3 linked regions of the Lonchura striata genome follow. The protein of the gene in region 2 interacts with the protein of the main gene of each other region in a pairwise test. Links are inferred from orthologs where the notes say so. Each region holds a gene or a part of one and is shown on either strand. Other genes may lie near its edges. The genes, in order: MBIP, EPB41L3 and YWHAG.

Evidence for each region.
Region 1: the proteins of EPB41L3 (region 2) and MBIP interact in a two-hybrid assay, tested with the Homo sapiens proteins (2 studies listed by BioGRID). The two-hybrid records come from large-scale screens. The link is inferred for Lonchura striata from reciprocal best matches to the Homo sapiens genes EPB41L3 and MBIP.
Region 3: the proteins of EPB41L3 (region 2) and YWHAG interact in binary tests that used the Homo sapiens proteins (3 or more experiments, as listed by UniProt). The link is inferred for Lonchura striata from reciprocal best matches to the Homo sapiens genes EPB41L3 and YWHAG.

Annotation. Positions count from the first base shown.
Region 1 is NC_134608.1:24,890,601-24,897,704, forward strand, and holds the start of MBIP (MAP3K12-binding inhibitory protein 1), read left to right. Parts: upstream 1-4,026; 5' UTR 4,027-4,035; coding exon 4,036-4,158; intron 4,159-7,104. UniProt on the Homo sapiens protein: Inhibits the MAP3K12 activity to induce the activation of the JNK/SAPK pathway. Component of the ATAC complex, a complex with histone acetyltransferase activity on histones H3 and H4.
Region 2 is NC_134603.1:50,135,970-50,143,913, forward strand, and holds the start of EPB41L3 (band 4.1-like protein 3), read right to left. Parts: upstream 3,081-7,944; 5' UTR 2,509-3,080; intron 1-2,508. UniProt on the Homo sapiens protein: Tumor suppressor that inhibits cell proliferation and promotes apoptosis. Modulates the activity of protein arginine N-methyltransferases, including PRMT3 and PRMT5.
Region 3 is NC_134622.1:5,708,266-5,715,942, forward strand, and holds the start of YWHAG (14-3-3 protein gamma), read left to right. Parts: upstream 1-4,672; 5' UTR 4,673-4,827; coding exon 4,828-4,914; intron 4,915-7,677. UniProt on the Homo sapiens protein: Adapter protein implicated in the regulation of a large spectrum of both general and specialized signaling pathways. Binds to a large number of partners, usually by recognition of a phosphoserine or phosphothreonine motif.

The sequences.
Region 1 (7,104 bases), on a different chromosome or scaffold from region 2:
AACTGAGCTGAAGGATTTTGTGCAGAGTGCTAATCATATTTGCAGATGGCAGCAAGAAAGAAGGGAGGCAGGTATATAAAATTTAAATATGTTGTAAAATTACTAAACAGCAACAATGAAAATAAAGACCAAAGTAAGGAAGAGCATGAAGCAGTATTAGAACATAACAAGGATAAAAAAATTCTGAAAGGAAGGGTCATAGGTACATGTGCATGCCAGGATAAGGACACTAAACAGAGTGCAGGCAACAGCATCACAAATGTTAGGAATGATCAAATTACTGCAAGTCATAACTGTAAGATACTTATAGGTTTGTTGGTTTCCCTTTTTTCTCTAACAGCAAATACATCAGGGTTGTATTTCCGCCAAGACATTTTGTACAAATCCCATTCCAATCCTGTGTGAACAGGGCTTTCTAAACTTTGGTAAAGTGAAAGGAACACCAAAAGGTCAGCAGAGACATTTGCTTTGAAGGAATGCAGCTCCTATTGGAGAGCCAGATTTGCAATTCAGAGCCTTATTTGATGAACTTAATAAGCACATGACTACATTTTAGGGATGCAGGCTGAGGTTTTCTCCAGCTAGGCTAGTGCTTAAAATTAGGCACTAGCTTAAGTATCTTGTTGAAACAGTATCCATAAACTTTGTTGGGGTGATGCCTTTTCCTGGGTACTTGGGAAGCAACAGAAGTGAAGTGCTCTTAATTCTGAAATTAATGCTTGGAAAAAAAAAAATAAAAGCTTTTATTTTGGAGGGACTTGGTAATTTCCTATTTTAACCCTATTTATCGATTTAATGAATATGTTACTATCAATTTCGTTTTTATAACTGTGTTAAATTAGCCCAGCACTGATAATCTGAATATTAGGAAAAACTACAATTACAGCAAGGTGTCAAACTGAACTATTTTCCTGGGGCTTTGGACAGAATTCACAGTATTGTTTTTATCTTTGAAGCTCCAAATTATTTCAGGTTTTTTTGGTTGGTTGGGGTTTTTTGTTTTGTTTTGTTTTGTTTTGTTGTTGTTGTTTTGTTTGTTATTTTTTTTTTCTGAAGCATTGCCTCTTTTGCCTTTCTCTGTGCTACAGCTGACATAAGCAGAATTACACAGCATGAGCTTTTCAATTCAGGAGAAAAAATCTGCTTATATGTTACACAGTCTCCTTAGCTCAGCACTTCACTCTTTGGCACAACAAACCTCAGTGACTGGTACATTCTGCCAAGACTCACCTTTCTTTGGGTATTAGAGACAAAATTAAAGAGTTCAGAAATTGTGTACTGTAATATTCAGGAGAAGAAAGAGTTATGACAGTAATGACCAATGGAGAGAACTTGTGTCAATTTACTAAGGTTTACTGTGATTTTAAATAGCTTAAAGGCACCTAGACTTCGAAAGAGGTGAATGTTTATCATTTTACAAACAAAATAAAAAGAAGCAATAGTCCAAAACCAAAAGAAAATAGTTTTCTAGTTCAAAATAATTTTACTCCAACCACAATATTTGATATTTAAGAACTTAGTGGATTTGTGCTTATATTTTTCAAGGTGTTTTCAGTGGGAGAGGCTTTTATATACCTCAATGATCCATTCAGGGATCAAAGCTGCAAAAGATTTAATATTATCATGACAGCTCTATCCCTGAGTGTTGAAAGCAACTCCAGATTACTCCCTCCCTTGTTTGTCATATTATTAAAATATCTGGACATTACTGCCAAGTTAGACATATTTAAATCTTCTGATTCCTCTTTCTAAACAAGTATCTCTATCTCTGGCAATCTACTTCTTGCCAGTTTTCTATAAATTTATTCCAAATTACCAGTATCTTTCCAGCAATGAGAGCTTCCAATATTTTATTGCTTCACCAGCTTTAGTGAACATGCCATGTAATTTCCTCTGTCTTTATGGAGGCCTGGATTTACTGTGGCTAGCTTTACTTCCAGAGGCAATTACAAGTGAATTAATTTTTACTGTGCACTACATCCAGTGAGTATATAATCATCTTCTGGAACCATTCTGTTCTGGTCTGTCTCTTCCATTAGATACGAAGGTTTGACATTTTTGCCTTAGCTGTTTGTTTAATGCATTGCCTAATTTAATCTGTGAAACATTAGATAATACCAAATTTATTCAACTAGCAGCTGCAACTCAGATCAAGGTCTTCTGAGACAGAGCAAGTAGGAAGAAAGTCTTTCCCCATGGGAATCATTACTCTTTCTCTAAGAGGAGACATTTGCAAACAGCAGGAAGGCACCCAAGATCCAGTTTCTGCTTAGTAAATAAAAGGTGGGCATCAACAGCTCTACTGACTACTTTTGCCTACTCTCCTTGTAACGAGCACAGAATAATGGTGCTCATTACAAGGAGACTCCCACTGTCTTTGAAATCCTCCACATTCATTAAATCTCCCTTATATTTCCATGTATCTTTCTGATATTTATATGCTTACCTATTTATTTTTCATTTGAAATGTTTTTTACCCCAAAACAACCTCTGGCTACAGGTAAAGATAACATGCTCAAAAGGAAAGGAAAGATCTTAGATCTCTCAGTTAGGAAGGCTGCACGTACCCATTGATAAAGTAGGATACATCTGCTCCATCACTCTAGGAAAGCTGGAATCTATCAGGTAGCTGAGCACTCATCAATTGAAGTAAAGAATTGGTTCAAATGCCTGGACCTGTTCTGTCTTATCAGGTCATTGGGAATTCATTCAGGATAAACTGCCTTCTCTGACACCGATGCCAGGTTGTTACATCTGTGATCCATAATTCTGCTCTGGCCAGCAGATCACTTATGTATTAATTCAGTGTTTTAGCACTGGAGGGGAAGGGGAAAGGGCAGTGTATTTTCCTTTATTCTTGAATTCTTCATTATTTGATCCAAATGACATTATTACATAGTGCAGGGTTGCTCCAGCTACGTGTCCAGAGACAAAAACTGCAAGAGTCAAGGTTAGCTGAAGCAGCCCTTGATCGTAAGCTGGAATTACTACTGTTGCACAGAAGTGCAAAACAGAATTCCACAAACGTTCTTAACTTACTACCATATTCTGTGCACGTGTTCAAAATACTATCTGACAAAAACTGTATTTTCAGGAATTAAATACATTTCTATGTTTCAGAGCTTCTAAATCACAAATACATTCTGCCGTATTTCTGAATCCAAACATTGGTCCTCATCAACGCAAGCAAATGCCATCTAGTTCAGCCTAGATAAGATATTCTTGCAAAATGCAGACATCAATGCATATGTTTGTAATCATTAAACACTGAAGTCCTCTTCAGAACTAATTTTTCTCTGGAACTTGAGCAGAGCTTTCTCTGCTTGAGTCCCATCAAATGTTGTGGGTTGCTGGTGCTGAAAGCCTTGTTTAGTAGCATTTATTTTCACTACATTAAGGTATGTCTTAGCTGAAAAAGAACCCTCAAAACATCAGTCAAATAAATTCATCTTCCTTTCTAATATTTTTATTTAACAATGTTTTAACATTTGTATATACTACTGCACTCACTATTTGTCAATTGAATAAAAAATATAGTCAGGGAACAGAAAGAAGTCACAGATCAAAAATAGGTATCAAAACAAACATCGGGTAGGAAACCTTTGAATGCATTTCTACTTATATTTCTTAGGAATTTCTACTAAATTTCTTAGGGAAGAAATTTAAAAGTAAAATGTCTTACAGGGAATAGAATTTTCCGACCCCCAAAATCAAGAGTACTCTCACAAAACTCGTAGTCTGATTTAAAAACAACCTTGCTGCAGCCAGAGGAGTCAAGGCTTTGAACAAAACGCATGAACGCACAAAAGTGAGGGGCAGCCAGCCAGGCCCAGCAGAAACAGGGGCAGCAGCGCGATGAAAGGCAGCCCCGCGGGCCGCTCCCCCGAAGGAGCCCGCGCTGCGCCTCCCGGCAGCGCGCCCCCACAGCGGCCCGAGCGCCGCCATTGGCTGCCGCGCCTGTCCATCAGCGCGCGGGGCGGGGCCAGCGCCAGGCCTTCGTCATCGCGGGGCGACGGCGCGGCCCGGCCCTGCGTCATGGCGGCGGCGGTGGCGGTGCCCGGCCCGCTCCCGCCCGGCGCCCGCGCTCCGGAGGCGGACCCTGCGGCCTCCGAGGTAGCGAGCAGCGCCCTGCGCTGTCTGGCCGGGCTGGCGGGGCAGGTGAGTGCGGGGCGGGCGGAGGGAGAGGTCCTGGGCGGAGCTGGGCTGGGCGCCGCGCCCGCCTCACAACACTTGGCTTTGGGGCGCGAGCAGGGCTGGCTCCTGCTTCCCCCCGGCCTGCGGGGCAGATAAGGCAGCTGCCTCTTCCGGGAGTGCCCGCCTGGTTTCTGCCGGGGCTGGGCGGCGGTGCCGGCTGCCTCCCCCGCTCCCTGCGGCCGGGGCAGCCCCCGGTGCGTGGCTGCTGCTCCCGCTGCGTCTCTCCCGCAGCCGGGACCGTGCCTTGGCCTCGCAGTGACGGGACCTCGCGCGCCGCTTTGTAGTTTGACGGATGATAGCTTCCGTGGGAAAGTGCAATTTGCTTAATTGCTGTATCTTATTAATTAATTGCTTAGAGTTGAAAAGCTGCTGAAAGCTTGCAGTACATTAAATCAAAATAAATTTTCAGGAGCTTAAAGTTAGCCCTGCCTTGGTAATGGCATGCTATGAAACACGCAGTGCCTCTAAGGGTCAGAAGTTTTAAAGGTGCTCTGCTCTTTGGCACTTAAATTGAAACACCTACTTTATGTTTAGTAATGTCTGTGAGTTGTGAAACAAATGTTACAGTAGTAGTGGAAGGCCCGCCCTTGTCAGGAGAAGGTTTTAGTAATAACATTTTTATTGGTATAAACAATTTATACATTAATTTTCCACTGTGGAAACATTTATGTAGTTCTGTGAAGACAGAAGTACACTCTTACTTCAAGAGTTAGCAGTTTGAAAGTTTGGGGCCAGATGATGAACAATATATGCAGGAGCTAGTGTAACTTAATGTATGTTTGGTAAAGAATTGGTCTCTTAGATGCAGAGGCAGTTTAGGAGTAGCTGCTGGCTGATCTGAAATGATATTTTAGAGTGTTTCACTTCTCATCTGTATAGAATTTTATTATACTTGCTTTTCTCCTCCAACTATGCTAGCAGTTGTCTCTATTTTCAAACAAAAGGCAAGAAAAATTAAGGGCTTGGTAATTCAGAGACTTAGTTAAGAGTCTCAGTTTTCCTCTCTCTAAAATGGTTAAAAACTGCTATGGCTTTTGAACAGGAGTACAGCACTAAACACTGTGATGTCCAGACACAGCTGACGCATAGGATTACCAAGGCATGAAAACTGTTGAGGTTTAAAGGCCCCATAATCCTTCCTGGTGAAAATTCTGAATGTGATCAATGAAGAGCTAGTGACTGTCAGTTTATCTAAGTGGGAGGACAACACTATGAATGACAGTAATAGAACACATCAGAGAAAAGCTGGAACTCTTGTATTTATGAAAAATACAAAGGAGAATAAGGGGAAAGTTTCCTAAGATTTTAACTGGGGTATTCATCAAAAGTTTATGAATTGTTTATAAACTACATTAAAAACTCTTATTCTACCTCTTGACTTCAGCAGCTTACTTTTTCTGCAAAGCTGCCTCTACAACTAGCATGTCATTGGAAAGGCCCTGGTGATTTTTAAAAATAACTGTGTGTGCACAGACCATTGTGAGAGAACTGCTTAGAGTTGCTACATCCCCTCAGTAGTTACAGTAGCTATGGTGCAGAGTATAATTGTCTTCTTTGGTGTTTGGAGTGTCTTCTTTCCTTGACAACAGACACGTTTCACTGTGTCACATTCAACAGTGCACTGGTTGGATAAGGATCTGGTTGCTCCATCTTAGCTGTGAAAGTCCTTTTGATTTCCAGTTGCTGACACTTGTCTGCCAGTGCTTGAGTACTGACAGATTTAACTGCTTAGGGATTCTAGCAAACTGCCTTGCATTTCTGACTGAAACTACTGATTCCCCATTTCCCTTTTATAGAGATGACTAAGCATGTGCCAAATTGTTAGCAGTCACAGTTTGATTCACTACAGTAGTTTAAGTTGGTTTTATGCTAGTAAATTGGGCAGTAAGCAGGAATATTTCTGGCACAGGATTTTTTTAATGGAGCAATCAATGGCAGTATGTGACCAGGACATCTGAGAATAACAGCTCTTAAAACCAATATAGCTGATCCTGAAAAGTTCTTTAAGATTCAAATGATAGCCAGTGTTTATGTAAAACAAATTTCAAAGAGCTGAAATTACATATAATCCTGTAAATTGAATAGGCTGTGGACTTGTAATTAGTCAAAGGCTTTGAAGTTATCAAAACATTGAATTTAAAAATCTGTTTGTCACAGTTCTAATAAGTAGTAGGATGTGAAAGACTGAGAACTTACTCTGTGGTACTAGAAACTTCTGTTGATGCAGGAGGGCTTTATATTTTTATTTAAAAGCAGTGTCTGAATTAAAAATATGACTGTCCTCTAAATGATTCTAAGTTCTGTTGCTTTTTGTGCCTTGAACCACCTGGACAGGAGGTGTCCATTGTGATATTGTGAAGGCACATATCAGATTATTATTTTTTAAAAAGGAGACTTATTAGGAAATTGCAGTAGCACTTCTATTTTGTTTCATTTGGATGACTTTAATCTGCCCCTTTTTTACCCTATCAGTAGACTATAATATAGCATACAGGAGATATTACTCTAGAAACTTCAGGCAGAAATACATGCTTCAGATGATCACATGCACAATGGCTTAATTCCTAAATTAAATTTTATTCCTGCTATGTTCTAAATACATTCTTGCTTTTGAAACTTCTTCAAGATTAGTATATCCTAGAACATTACTTCTCCTACATCCTGTGTACTTAGCTTAAGTACTAAACAGGGATAACCATTTGTGAAAATTATCTAAAATACATTATATATCTAGTCAGACTGTCTCCTTTGCTATGTAATTTGGGAACTGACCCTGAATTTATCAAGGCTGATCTTTGACTAAAGAAGGAAGGTTCAGGCTTATAATTCTTTACAAAATTGTGTTAATGCTGGGATTTGAAACTAACGTGGGACAGTTTATCATCCACAGCTTTGCCTGTGGAGTGATGA
Region 2 (7,944 bases):
TAATGGATCACAAATTAATTCAGGCTAGGAGGAGGCTCATGAGGTCCAGGCTTCTGCTTCAAGTAGGGCCAGCTGTGAGATCCAGCTCAGGGCTTTGTTCAGTCAGGTCCTGAAAACTCCCAGTTGGAGACTGCACAGCCTCACCAGACAACCTGTGTCCTTATCCAACTGTCTGTCCTCAGTGAAAACACTTTATCCTTGTAACCAGTGTGAACTTCTCTCATTTCAGCTGGTATCCACTGTCTCTTGGCCTTCCACCACTGAGAAGAGCCTGCAATGATGTCACTCTTTCAGTGAAAAGAAAGCACTCTTTATACTTTTAGCTCTGCTATTTATCTGTTTATGCAAAGTACACTTTGCTCTGTGATTTAGATTGCTGTTTCAGATTTTAACTTTGCTAACAGCATTTGCCAAAAATTCAAATATAACCAAATCAGAGTGAAAGTGAAAAACAAATCTAAGAATAAAACTTGGGTGGAAAACTCACCCATGTGATCACATCAAACTTTCCCTGATGTGCCATGGTGATGGCAGCACTTCAGCACTCAGTACTGCATTTCCAGACATGGAAGAAGCATCTCTTTATATAGGTGCAACATGAGAGCCAATTATTCATGCATATTACAAAATAGGCCAAAAAAGCAAGATACATGCTGGAGCAAAGCTATGAGGAATGCAGTCTGCTAGTTTTCAGACTCAAAGAGTTTTGAGCAGTGTGTCCATCACAGGAAATATGCATTGCTTCCTGGCCCCAGAAGCTATTGCTCTCTCAGGCTCCTTAAGGCTCCTTAGCACATCAAAGGACAGCAATCCAAAGCAGCAGTCGCCTTACAGACCTTACTGCTACTCATCACCAAATCACCATGTACAGTCATGCAGAAGGCTTCTTAACAGCACTCTTAAGACATGCAGCTGAAGAATAAAAGACATAACCAGAACTAAGAGTGAAGGTAAATGCAGTAGTGCAACAAATGTTCATCCTGCCTAAAAGGTCACGTGATATGTGGTTAATGCCATTATCCTCCTCCAGCACTCTGGAAATCGCCCTGAGACAAGAGCTTCCCAGCATAAGCTATGGATCAATAAAAAGGATTAAGCAACAATACTTCAGAAATACTTGAAAGTAAACTATCGGGCTTTATCTCAAATTTTCTCTAAATCAGTCCCTGATAAGAAATTCTTAAGTTTGATGTCCATCTTTTCGTCTTAGGCTCTTTGCAACAGCGCAAGAATGCAGGTGATGCAGATTGTGCACACTCAAGAAACTGAAAAAGGAGAGGGAAAAAGAGCCAATGTCAACCTTCCTCCCTCCCCCCAGAAGAGGTGTGTACCAGCTAAAGTCAGCCACAATCTGTCAGCAAGTAGCCAGTGCCAGCCCTACACTCACTCCCACGCCTTACCCAGGACAGGGCCATCACCACACCAGGAACACTCACCTCATTCTGAGATAGGACACACAGCCAACACTGCTCCCAAATCACATTTGTCTTGTCCCTCAAAACTTAAGGCTGTGCATAAGCAAGGTTGTCACCACACAGTGAGAGGTGAAGCAAGTTGTTTTCCCTAATTAAACCTATTAGTAGCAACAAGTCACTTCTGCTAGGTCTAAATAGCTCAGAGATAAATCCCAAGACTGCTAATCTGCCAACCTCCCCTCAGTGCTCAGAGGCAGCTTCTTTACTCCTACAGACAACACTGGGTAAATACTACCTCCTCCAACCATGCTCCTGGAGCAGATCTCCAGGTTGATACATTCAAAGCAAATGTTTTCCCTGAAGCAGTCCAGCCACCTTTATTAAAAGCCCAAAGGGCCAAAATCTCCTCCTCAGATAGCAACAGCAGATACCCCCAGAAGAATATTCTGCAGGTCTGGCATCTGCACACAAGGAAAGAGTGTGACCCTGACAGAGCTCTGCGCTTTTTTTCATTTTATAAAAAGAAACCTCCCCAGAGACTACTTGTGATGGAAGACCTTTTTGTAGAAAATTCTTTTACAATATTTAATACAAACATGTTATCAACACATCATCCCTTAAAAGTTCACACCACAGGCAACACCAGTACTAGGAACAGTAAGGACAGTGACACAGTGCTTTTCTAAAAAGCCATCCAATGAATCTTCTGTCTGAACTGTTTGCAGAATCAACTGAATAAGTCAGAAAAGAAAAATTAAAATGTTCTAAGCTGTTGCTTCACAGCATGTCTTACAGAAAAGTAATTTAAAAGTTATTACAAAGACAATAACACTCAATCCCATAACATGACACTATTTCAAATTAATCCAAAGTATGTTAATTCCTTCATCTGTGCCAGTGATAAAACAGAATAAGGAAAAAAAAAAAGCCACTTCATCAAAAATAATTTGAAATTTAGTAAGCTTTGCCTGTTGCATTGACAAAACCAACACTGCAAAAACAGCCTTAATTTTCATCAAGCACAGCTTCCAATACATAACATTCTCCTCTTTCTCCCAAGCAAGCAGAAGTGATACTCATTTTGCACACTCACCATAATTATCCATATTCCAGGAGGCAGCCGTTCATCCAGTTTGTGAAATCCATGGTTTCAGCAAGTCATAGCCATCAGCAGGAAAATGAAGAGAAAAAGAAGAAAAAAAAACCTCTTAAGATTCAATGAACAACACAACACTACTGCTTTCTGTTAAGTCTGCATTACAAGACAGTTTCAGGTAACTCATTAAATGGACTGAACATAAACAACCCTCCACTCTCCAATTTATTCTAGAAAGAAATAAAAGACCCTCACAACATCCATGTTAATAAAAGAACAATAATTACAATCTAATAAAGATCTGTCAAGGCTGACCTCAGAAGGAACATTTTGTGAGGGGAGAAAAATGTCTTTTTAAGAAAAAAAACTTTCTACTGTACTTCCCCCATCAGGCAGTAACAGGTGTGCAGTATCACAAATAGTAAAAGGTATATTACTTTCTCTTATACTGCTGACATTTCAAAATCCTTGATGAGGAGATGTAACATTTGCAAGGAAGTAAGGCAAAGCCACCACAGCAACTGCTCAGTTTCAGAATCCTCAGTCATGGATGGGGGATTGGTAATTTATTCTTTGCAATTAAGGGAACCTGCAGCCTACCCCACAGCTGAGTATCTATGCACTATTACACATCTGCAAATCATCAAGAACACCCAAGCTGAAACAACTTTTTTTTTTCAATTTGGACTTTGAACAGTGTCTGAGTGACCAAACTCAGTGTGTGTCACTTCTCTCCTACTAATAAAAACCCAAGAAAGAATTTTACAGCTTTCCCAGGCTCAGCATTGATTTCTTTTGGCAACTGTTCCAAAACACTCGACCAATTTAGCATTTGGGGCTTTTTTGCTTTTCTGTTTGGTTGGGGTTTTTTTCATTATTATTCCTTTGGAGACAAAATGCTTTAAAGAGATAGCTACAAAATGCCAATTGCTATGGGATAACCTAAACAAACTGCATGTGTGTATGTAAGGGCAGACAAAGGCATACTCTTCTTTTGACTAGAGAAATCAACTGCATGTGCAAGTTCAGGAAGTGCACAAGGTCCTGAGCACAGATGAGCAGGCGAGGAGAGTGCTAAAGCCTGAGGTGGAAGGAAAGGAGGCAGTGAAGGAAATGCTGTCATCATCTCCCAGCAGCTCTGTGACCATCAGATTGATCACCAGGCCAAGGCTGACAAGATGTCAAAAAGCCAAAGGCCATGGCAAAGTCCCTTCCAACAGATTGGGACATATCTTCTCAGTTCACATGTTTCAATCATACAAATTCTCCAAACCAACTGTTCTCAGGAACATCTTCACAACTCAATGCTCTTTTTCTGGGTACCAGTAAAGGGACTTTCATTTTCACCTCCATAAATCTCAAAGCAACTCAGGAGGGCGGGGATGTGGTTTCTATTTGATCTCTGCAGAAACTATGCCATATGAAGGCAAATTTATCTCTTAGTGTCAAAAAAGAAAATGAAACTGGCACAAGCAACTAATTGGCAGCTCCCCTACTTCGATGGATAATGGCTGATGAGTTACCTCCTCCTCAGCCTTCACGGCCCATTAATAAGACAGCACGAAATGCTGCAGAAAAAGGGAGATGATTGCTCACATATTTACCACTTTGCTAGCAAACAACTTTTTGTTGTTGTTGTTGTTGCTGTTTTTGTAGGAGTGCTTTTACAGTAGGAGACATTCCAGTGCCTTCTTGTGAAGAATATTGGAGAGGAAAGGGAAAAGAGATTGCAAAAGATTTGCCTTCATTTCTGATTTATCTTGTCAGTCTTGTGTACCCCAGTCCTTCCCCAGAGCTGCAACCATGCACCATTACTGTCAGTGTGACTGTAGTTACAGACTGCCCTCAAGATATTACCTGTCTTTTACCTCTGCAAGGGAAGCTGAGATTACTGGAGAACATTTTTACTGGAGCAGACACGACTTCAGGGTACTCCCAAGGACTGTAAAGGCCATTGAGATACCTGACTGGACACAGGCCTTCATATTAAGGAAAGTGAGATTTTGATGGTGGCATGGAGCAAGCTTAAAATTAAGAAATTTATCAGGATATGAGAGATCACATGAAAGCAGATGTTGAGTAGGTGGGAATGGCGGGAAACATGGTGTGCAAAAACACGAGGAAGGAACAAAACAAAAATGTATGGATGACTCAGAGCTGGCAGAATTCATGCAGGAGAGCTGCTGAACTGGTTTATTTAGAATGGGGAGGGGACAGGAGAGCAGCATGCCCATTGACAATACTGCAGATACACTTCTGAGACAAAACAGGACGTGGTTGTTGAAGTTTGACATGTTATAAGGGGCAGAGTTCCATTATCAGCTCAGAAGGTTTGAGGGGAGAAAAAAGGTCACAATATGCCATAATGGGAGGGATGAATGAATGAGATGCAAATTGCCTTGAGAATTGCAGCAGCATCCACTGCCTACACCACATGCCAGTTGCTTGGGTCAGGGGGAGGAGAGATACACAAGAGCAAGACCACAGGGACATTCTGCATTTCCCGTGTTCCTCTTCACATACTGTTTTTGCATGACACTGGTTATGAAACTGAAAACGTTGGTTCAGCTTCAGGCAGCAATTTTAGGGTCAATTGCTTCTTCACCAGACACTGAAATCACAATTTGTCAAGCATCAAATTAACTGTAAACGTTTTAGGGGACAGTGAACTTGAGTTATGCATTATTATTGGGTCCCCTTCCTCAAAAATCTATCTTGCAATCCCTCTTGAAATGGCAGGTGCCTTTTTCTTTTTGCTAGAATCACACTTGAAGATGAACTCTGCAATTACACTACTTGCTTTTTGCTCCATCAACTCATTCCTGACTGTTATGCACTCTTGAAAGTACAGATCTCAAGTCATGGAATACGCTTTCAAAACCATGTGAAGCGTTTTATCAATTTATCACAAGAGTACGTCAATATAGGTTTTCCAGCTGAAAGCATTTAAAAGTTTCCTGAAAACTTTTATAGCTCAGCTTGGACCCACTCCTAATCCACAGACAGGGTAAAAGACTCATCTGGCACCAGCACACCACAAAATAAGTAAGCAATAAAGCCTTAATGAGGTTAGCTGTCCAGCAAAGCCCCAATACCCAGGGCTGCACATCTTTCCCTAATACTGTCAGTACAACACAGAACAACTACAAGCCTTGGTGCTGCAACAGATATCACTCAGTATTCAGCTGTATCAAACTGGTGTTTAAACATCATTCCAGCCAATGCCCCAGTAGGCTAGGAGAGGTGGAAGCTAGTGGAAACTGGAAAATCATTGCTGGGAATGATGTCAGATTTGGATTTATTGTGTAGCAATTCTAGGTCAGAATCAAACTTTTATATTTTACTCTTCCATGCAAATGTTAGAGAGTGAATATGAAAAATGTATTCTTTAAAATGGAGGGGAAAAAAAAGTCCATCAATGTTCTGCAAGTCCTATAGGTCTGCAGTTAATTTAAATGAGGAGTGATATTTCATATCCAGGTGGGATGATCATAAATCTTTTGGACATATGTGAGTTAAGATGAAGAAAAATATAAAATCGGCAATGCTGTGAAGATTTTACATTGAAGTGGTACATGGACAAAGTTGAATTTGGTTTGTTAGGCCTCCATTTCAGTTCTATCTCCCCAGCCTGGTGTTTGACCATTGAGGTGCTTGTGAAAGCTTACCACACCATGAGCCATGAGCTATACAGCTGAAAATTCTCGCTTGCCTTCAATAAAACAAAGGCAGAATTAAATGTCAGCAGTATCAAAACCTCCCCTTTACCCCTGAAATTCAAAGCCCAAGTCCCGTTTGAGTGTCACCAAACACAAGCTGTGCTAAGTCCTCAGAAGGTGAGGAACTTAGGTTTGTCTTGGGAAGGTTTCAGAGTTTCACCCAAGAACATGTCTGGGAAAAGCTGTACACCTGCATGCAAATAAATACATGCATAAACATAGCGTATGTACATAAACACAAATGCATCCTGCATATGTATAAACGGTGTATAATTGATATAAAGTGGCTCAGCACCCAGCAGGTGGCACTCACACCCTGAGCTCCCGAGGCCGGCACTCCGCGCTGCTCTACGAGAGGCACCATCTCACCGAGAGGTGAAAGCACCATGGGCACGCACCCGCCACCCTTTTGCAAGGCCTGATGCAAGGTAAAGTCCAGCATCTGGGCCGAAATCCCATTTAGCTTACTGGCCAGGCACCCCTTCCATTAATTCCCCCAACAGCTGCAAGGCTCCCCCCTTGACTGCTGCTGATTCTCAAGTGTTCTTGCAGCCTTTCCAGAGGAGCAGTATTCTGGGGACTGAAAGGGTCCTGGAATATTTTCCATATAGAAGCATCACATTATGATATCAAGAACAATACAACTAAATGTAAAGCTTCCTTCAGACTTCATCACTTCTTTTCTCCATTTGACACACCCAGCTAGCTTTCAATTAATCCCACTAATAATTTAGGCTTTTGAAGATCTTATGAATGAACAAATCAGAACTGGAAGAGGAAATACTGTTTTTCTTTGATTAAAATTAAAGACTTGTTTTCACCCTAGACTTAAGTATCACAATCATATGTACATTCTTAATACACCTCCTAAAGCTGAGTGGTGCTTCAACTTCAGCTGAGTGGGTTTGTTTTTAAAAAAATATTTTCCTTTCCAATTCAATATTCCACCCATCTCCCTTCCTTCTTTTAAAAAAACAATAAAATCAGTTTAGAAGCATCCATTTGAAAACATCAGCTCTTTGTGGAGCAGTGCTGTTCCCTGTTAAGAGAATGCTTCGTGTCAGATTGAAAGATACCTTTCCAAGGTCATTTCATGTTCCAATGGGTTTGTTATGAAGTTGTGGAATGGCAGATAAGGTTGCATGAGATAGTAAAGTGCCTTCCTAAGCTAGTTCTGGGCAGTAATGTGCAACCAATATTTGAGCAAGGGACTTCAAGAAACTTCATATGCTGAAATAAATGCTGCTGCAGGAAGGACAGAAGTAGTGCCGAGATAGTGATAATCTGTTTCCCAATTAAAAAACAACAAAATAATAAAAGGCCATTTTCTTGACAAGTTTGCACAAACTGCACACATTTATGGCACTTGGCAAAGGTTGAGTGCTTCTAGGAACTTTAGGGGGTATCTCTTCAGCAAGTTAAAATACCCAACTCTTCAGCAAGTTAAAATACCCAACCCTGTGTAATAATGAGGATTTGATGCTAAAAACTGCTCAATTCAGCATCAATAGTAATGCCTTCAAATTGCCAGAACAAGAATACAAGAGTATTAAGTACCAGGACTGATAGTTTGCAAGGTTAAAAAAGGGAGGGGAAAGAAAAAAAGGTGCATATCTAATAACAGTTTTTTGAAAGTCTTGTAGTTACAAGTGTGAGGAATGATGATCCAGTATTTTTAGACTGCTTCTAACAGATCCCAAAAATGGAGGAAACC
Region 3 (7,677 bases), on a different chromosome or scaffold from region 2:
TTCTCGGTGGGTGCTGGGAATAAGGGGAGAGTGGGAGGCACGGAGTGATGCTCTCCCATCCCATCTCGGTAGCTTGAGGTGGTTCCAGGGAAAATCATTCCTGGAAGCCCTGAGGGGTAAGGGCAGCCCTGCTTGGAGACAGAGCTTATGCTAAACAGCACGGGAGGGCAGCTGCTGCAGCAGAATTAATTTGAGCTTGGAAAGTGCTTTGAAAGGCTGAGATGAAAGGCCAGGGCTGGGTACAAAGCGCTGCAGCTCCACAAACAGGGGGAAGGACACTCCCAGCAAAGTACCCTCGGTCTGTCATCAGCCCCACCAGCCACAGCCCCTCCATCGCCTCCTGCCCCAGGTGAGGCACCTCTGGCTCTGGGATGTTTTGGGGAGGGTTGGTGAAGCCCTGAGCTCACCCAGCTGCTGGTTTTGGGGTCCTACCTTGGTTGGGGTGACCCCCCAGCTCTGGTTTGTGTCAGGGTGGAAGGGCTGAGGCTGCACCGTGGGGGCTGGGGAGGTGCAGGGGAGGAAGGGACAGCCTTGTCCTGCTCCTGGCCAGGCTCAGGGAAAGGGGCCAGGGTGCCACAGCTTTGGGGTGCTGGGGACAGGCAGTCTGGCCCAGTGAGGGGTCAGGCAGGGAGGACATGAGGGCACCACTGTCCTGCAACCTCAGGGAACGAGACACCGAAGCCAGAGGTTTCCTCAGCTTGTTTCTCCACCAACATAACTGCAAGAGTCACAGAAGTGCTCCCCTGGGCAGGCAGCCCCTTCCTCAGGGCAAACCAAGCAGCAGCTGCCTGGGAGTGGGACTTGGGGTGACACCCAGCCCTGGGGCTGTGCAGGAGCCTGGGCAGCATCCCAGGGATGGGACCCATCCCAGCCCACACACAGGCCTGGGAAATGCCACCCTGTGTCCCCTGGCCTTCACAGCTTTGCCACCCACCAGCTGAAGACACCAAGCACTTGTGTCACTGCTGCTGTGAGGTGTGGCAGGTGTGCTGGTGTACCTGGGGTGACAACCTCTGGGGTGGGGACAGGCTGGGAGACCTGCACACACATCTCCCATGCTGGGCATCCCCTTCCCTGGGCATCCCCTTCCCTGGGCATCCCCCTGGCTCCAAGCAAGCAGACATGGAGGGAAAAGGCACAAGGGTAGGGGCACATGACTGTCACTGTCCCATAGGAAATGAGGGGTGAGGATTTCTGGATCCATTTTCAGAGCAGTCAGCAGCTCACCCAAGCAAACCTCCAAGTCACAGAGAATTTCCTGCCTTCCCTCACAGTGTCACAAGGCATTGACAAGACGTAGCAGGGAAGGCAAGAAAATGCAAAGAGAAAGACTCTCCTTCCAAGCCACAGGAATTAACAAAGTGGCACATTTGAACGCAGAGAAGTATTTTTAATCCCGCAGGCAGAATTGAGGTTATTAGGTTTTTCTGGGACATCTGCAGAACAGACCCACATCCTTTGGGTCATTGTGATTTCCCAGCACAGCAGCTGCCCCAGCCTCTCACTGAGGGGTGTCTGCAGGCACCAGAGGAGGGAAAAGGGGATTTAGTGATGTCCAGCCAGGTAACACCTCCAGCTGCCTGTGCTGCCCACCAGAACCTTCTAACTTGGACCATCCACCACCAAACCTTCACCCCACTGCTGCCCAGGCTGTGCAGCAGAGGAATTAGGTGTTGTGAGGGGTGCTGATTTATACATCAGAGCTCAAAAAGGGGGCTGGATTCACTGCAGATAAATATTACAGCCAGCTTGCTACTCTGAAAAATTTACAGCATCATGAATATCCTGTTCTGACCTGTGATGGGGAAGGAAATCATCTGCGTTGGGAAATGTATTTATGGCTCTGGTGCTCTGACAGAAATAAATCAGTATTTGCTCGTTTTGGGGCAAAAACAGGGTCACTGTAAATCAGCAGAGCTGGGCTGGCTGAGAATGTGCCAGATTTATGGAAAATACTAGATAAAATTCCAAAGGTTTGTATGGAGAGGCAACAGTTTTTATTAGGACTGTTGATATATTTGGAGAAATCAGGGGATCCTCCAGGTGCAAAAGTACTTCTTCAGGTCTGGGCTTGTGTTCAATATTGTCCGGGAGAACCCAGGAATTGTACCCAAGGGATAATATTATTTATTTTCCAAGTTAGGGGATGCATATATCTGGCCCAAATGCAGTAGGATCACTCAGAAGGGGATGAGCAAGGAGTCTGCTCTCATTCATTCACAGACATGAGCGTGCTTGGTTCAGGTGATGCCCCACAAATATCTCCTGATTAATGAGAAGAAATGGCAGCAATAGCTGAAAAAATAATTTGGGAACCAAACTCCTTTAATATTCTCTTGCACTCTGCATTTTTTTACACATACCCTCTCCCAAAACTGGCGCTAGGGCGAAAACAACCCAGAGCCCCACTGTGGGAGCTCTCCAGAGATGACAGCGAGCCCCTGGGGAGGAAGAATGAGCCTTTATCGGGGGAGGGGAATAAATTGCCCTTGTCTGTGGCATCTGTCCTGGGGATGGCCGGGCAGTAAACAAAGGCTGGGCACAAAGCACAAAGGCTGTTCTCACTCGGGAGCCACGTGTGCCCTGCGGGGTGTGAGGCCGGGGGTGCGAGCGAGGAGACAGCGTCTGATTTTTGGGGAGGAAATGGAGAGGATCCGGTCGTGTTTCTGGTTCTGTTTATCAGAGAGGGGGATTTCTTCTGCTCTCGGAAACTGTAAACAAAGGAGGATTTTGTGCTACACAAATCCAGGCGATGCCATTCTCTGTTATTTGCAGAGCAGTGCAAAACCCACATTAAACTTGCCCCAAAAGGGTGTTGCTCACCACCAGCAGCATTCCCAAACCAGTTTGTCCCCACCCACGTGGGTGAGACCTTGGCCTTTGGCTCTGGAGAGCCACAACACTGCCCTGAGGACACCAGCACATCCCAGTGCCACCCAGGGTTCCTGTGGGAGGTTTCAGAAGGAAACCACAGGGCACAGGGACTGGCAGGTGGGATGGCTGAGTCCTCTGAGCTAATTCCCACACATCCCAAAGCACCTGTGTGGGGACAGTGGCTTTGGGAAGGGCCAGGGACATGTGGCACGTGAAGGACAGTGTTCATCTGTGCATCAGCACTGCCTGGCTCTCTCCAAGGAGGGTGAAGCGCTTTCATGGGGATCACTGTTTGTTAGACCCCTTTCCTTTTTCCCACTGCCACAGCATTGTCTCAGCACTGCTTTATCCAGAGGCTTTTGAGGAGAACAGGATCCATTAAATCCTTTCATTCCTCCCAGTGCTGTAGCCTCCTCTCAGCATCACTTCATCCATAGAGTTTTAGGAAAGTGGGATGTCTTATGACTCCCAGTGGCTCTCCCCATGTAGCAGAGCCCCACATGGATGGAGCAGACATGTTTTCATCCCATGGGTTATCCATGTGTGAGTGCACTGTGGGCCCAAGGTGGCTGTCATTACCCACTACCCAGAGCTGATCTCCAGTGCCTCTCCTCTGTGGATTGGGACCCTGGCCATGGTGGGGAAAAGGGGGCAGGGGAAAGCAGGGCACAGGGGCTCACCCCAAGATTGTCACCATGCCACAGTGTCAGAGACCCCAGGCACAGCAACACTGCCAGGGTCTCCACAGGGGAAGGATGCATGGGCTGTGAGCGGGACCAGGACAGGAGCGGGTCGGGGTTTTGAGTGGATCAGGGATTTTGGTGGGATATGGTTGTGAGTGGGTTTGGGCAGTGGGTGGGTTTGGTTGTGAGTTTGGGCAGTGAGTGGGTTTGGTTGTGAGTGGGTTTAGGTGGTGGGTGGGTTTGGGCAGTGGGTGGGTTTGGTTGTGAGTAGGTTTGGGCTGTGGGTGGGTTCGAGCTGTATGACCAGGATGTGTGTGGGTCAGGCCCGCTCGTGGGTCTGGCCATGAGTGGGACTATGCTGTGCGTGGCTCCAGGCTCTGAGAGGAGCACTGGGAGTGACCGTGGGCTCCGAGTGGGCACCGGCTGTGAGTGGACCCGGGCTGTGACCGAGTCCTCTGTGTGTGCGAGCCCAGCCTGTGGCTGTGCCGGGCCGCCAGAGCGTCCCGGAGAGTGTCCCCGCCCGGGACCGGGCCGTGACTGTGCGCAGCCCCAGGGTGCGATCCCGCCCCGCCCAGAGCCGTTTGGTGCCCAGGCCCACCCGGTGCCGCTTGGTGCCCCGGCCCGCTCGGTGCCAGGGTTCGGTACCCAGGCCCGCTCGGTGCCAGGACTCGGTACCCAGGCCCGCCCGGTGCAGGGTTCGGTGCCCAGGCCCGCTCGGTACTCAAGCCCGCCCGGTGCCAGGGTTCGGTGCCAGGGTTCGGTGCCCAGGCCCCGCTCGGTACTCAAGCCCGCCCGGTGCCAGGGTTCGGTGCCCAGGCCCGCCCGGTGCCTCCCGCGGGCCCCCCCGCGCTCCCGGCGCGAGCCGCGCCCTCCGCGGCCCACCCGGGCCGGGCTCCGGTGAATCAGCACAGGCGGGGCCTAGGGGGGCCGAGGGGGCGGTGCCTTGGCGCGGGGCACGACGGGAGATGTAGTCCCGAAGGGCGAGGCCGGGCCGCATGAACCCGGCGCCGCTGGCGCACCTGAGGACTTCATCTCCCGTCGTGCCCCGCGGGCCGGGTGTGGGCGGGGCCGCGGGGGAGGGGCGGGGCGCGCGCAGGGGGGTTGTGGTGGCCCGCGGCGCGCGCACAGCACCGGGCGCAGCCGCCGCCGCCGCCTCAGCCGCAGCAGCGCCGAGCCCGCCGCGCCCTCCTCGTCCTCCTCCTTCCTCTCCTTCCTCCTCCTCCCGGAGCCCGCAGCCTCCTCGCCCCTCTCCCCCCCGGACCCCGCGAAGATGGTGGACCGCGAGCAGCTGGTGCAGAAGGCCCGGCTGGCCGAGCAAGCCGAGCGCTACGACGACATGGCGGCCGCCATGAAGAACGTGAGTCCCGTCCCGCGGCCGCGGCGCTCCCCACACGCTCACACACACCCCCTCTCCTCCTCCTCCTCCTCCTCCTGCCCCGCCGGGGCCGCCCTCCCCGCCTGTTCCCCGCGGCGGGCGGTGGGCTCGGCCGGGGCCCGCGGGGGTGTGAGGGCCCCGCTCCCTCGCCCTCCGGCAGCCCCGCTGCCTCCCGCTCCCGCCGCTCTCCCCGATCCAGGCTTACTTTGCTTTCTCCCGACCCCCGTCCCTGCCCTAGAGCCCCCCACGCATCCTTTTCCCTGCTCTGGGGCCCCCACGCATCCTGCTGCTCTGCCCTGGAGCCCCCTCCCCGCATCTTTCGCCTGCTGTGGGGCTCGCGTCCAGCCCCACGCATCGCTCCCTCCTGCCCTAAACCCCCCCCCGCATCTTCTCCCTCATTCCGGGGCTCCCACCCAGTCGCACGCACCCCCCTGACTGCCCTAGAGCCGCCCCCCCATCCTCCCCCTGCTCTGAAGCCCCTGCCCTGCTGCCCCCACCCAGCCGCACGCATCCCCCTGCCCTGGAGCACCCCCGCACCCTCTGCTCTGCCGTGGGGCACGTTGCCTCCGCAGCCCTGCAGCCCCCCGCATCACCTTCCAGCCGCAGTTCTTCTCTCCCCCCGCCCCAGGCCCCCTCCCATGCTCCCCTCCCCAGCAGGGCACAGGAGCCAGGCGGGTGCGGCGCTGCCGGGGGGGGTCACACCGGCTCGGGGCCCCGTGGGGCGAGGCAGGGGGGGACCCGGTGTTGGGGGGGTTCGTGCACATCTCTCCCCGCTGCCGAAATACCTCCCCGTGCATCCCTTCCCACGCGTGGTCGCCGGGGCTGATGTGTGCCCCTGACCCCAAAGATCGGGAGCCCTTTCACTGTCAAAGCTCTTATTTTTACTGCTCTTGGTTGGAGATTTATGAATTGAGTCATGTTGTATTCATTTCACGCTCTTAAAATAAAGACTCTGCATATAGCAGGCTGATCTGATTTGTGACACTGAACGCTCCCCTTCAATACTGACATTTTGACAATATAAGAAGGGGAAAAAAAACATATCTCTGATCTGATCTTGCAAACAAAGCAATCGTGGGAGGCAGGATCAAGTCATTCCAGAAGATTCTGCATTTGTCATATTGCAGAGAGGCTAGACTGGGTGGAGGGAGGGAGGGGGTGCTTTAAAGGGGAAAACTGTTCTTTATGTTTGTCTTCTTAGTCAGGTCTGAACCTTTGCTGGGAGCTGGGGTGTCCTCCCCGGCTGATGAAAAGTGAATGCCGATCTGGGAATGTCGCAGTCTGCCGTGGGTGCAGCTCTGTTTGCCCATATTGCACCATTTTGTCAATAACCTTGCATTTATCAAACAGACAAAACTGTCACAGCCCGAGCCCGGGGAGGGAGGAGATGTCTTATCAAGGAATGAAATACGGATAATCGGGACGAGATATTATCACATTAAACCAGCCGGGCTGTCCCTCTGCTGCACTATGGCTTTTATACCATTTTCTGATAGCGGCGTCTATTCATTTTAAAGCAAAGCCTGCTGTGTGAGCAGATCCTACAGCTCATTTCCTACGGATAATACAGCCGCCGTGACAAAGCCAGCAGGGATATGCCCGGGACTCAGAGCGGTGTTGCACTGTGAATTTCTCTTAGCCTGCTTTCCCCGGGCTGGGTGCTCGGACCCGAGGTGCTGTTAAGAGCTCCTATGTGTGATTTTTCCTTACGGGCCCTGGTGAAACAGTAACCCGGGCTAACGCCTCTTATCAGCTGCCGGGTAGTTTGGCCGTAAGGAAACGATCCCCAGCGGGAGCGCTGCCGCCTCCCTTCACCAGCAAACAAAAGGCAGAGCTTTGTTCTTCCTTTCTGCACCCAGCTCCGGCACGGCCGGTCCGGCGGCCACGGCCGTGTCACAGCCGTGTCACAGCCGGTTATCCCCGTCCCCGTGCGCTGCCCAGCCCCCAGCCCCGGTTGTGCGGGAGGCTGATGACCTCGCACTCATTTCCGTAGCAACGCCTAGTGATGTCATATGCCATGGTCCAAGCTGCAATGCACCCAGGCGGTAGCAGAGAGCATGCGGGCTGCGCCTAGCGAAGGTGATGCAGAGCCATCCTGCCCTCCAAACCTAGCCCTGCCTAGCACCCTGCTGAGAAATGCTGGCTGGTTCTCCTCTCACACCCGTCCTGGCAATGATGGCCATAAAAGAGGCTCGTTTTCCTGCAGCTTCATCTCACCCTTGCGTTTTGGTGGCCACCTCGCATGGGGTGGGTTGTTCAGCCTCAGCCCTGTCTGCTTGGGAACCTGTGCTGAATGGCTGTGTTAGTGGTTTAAAAAGAAAATGGTGTGCTGGGGTTCTTGCTGTCTGCTGATTCATCTAGTGATGTCTGGGATCGCAGTAGTTTCTCAAAATTATTATTTATATATAATAACTGCTACCTCCTTGCTTGCAAGTGCTAGCTGCCAGTGCCTCTACCTGCAGTTGTGTTGCTGCTGCAGGAGCAGGATTGCTCCTTCAGCCCCCAAAAGGGGCAGGTTTACTGAGGGGTCTCTGAAAACACAGCAGATGGTCCCCTCACCTACCAGAGGGAGCAGAAGGTGGTGCCACACCCAGGAAGGGTGCAGGGCTGGGCCCATCGATCCAGGACATGTCTTCATGACCTTGATCATGTCCCGTGTCACCTCAGTGCTGTCTGGGGGTACCATCAACCCTGTCAGGTGTTGGGGGACAGGAAAGCTCTCTGCTGGTCCCCAGTGTGGTCAGA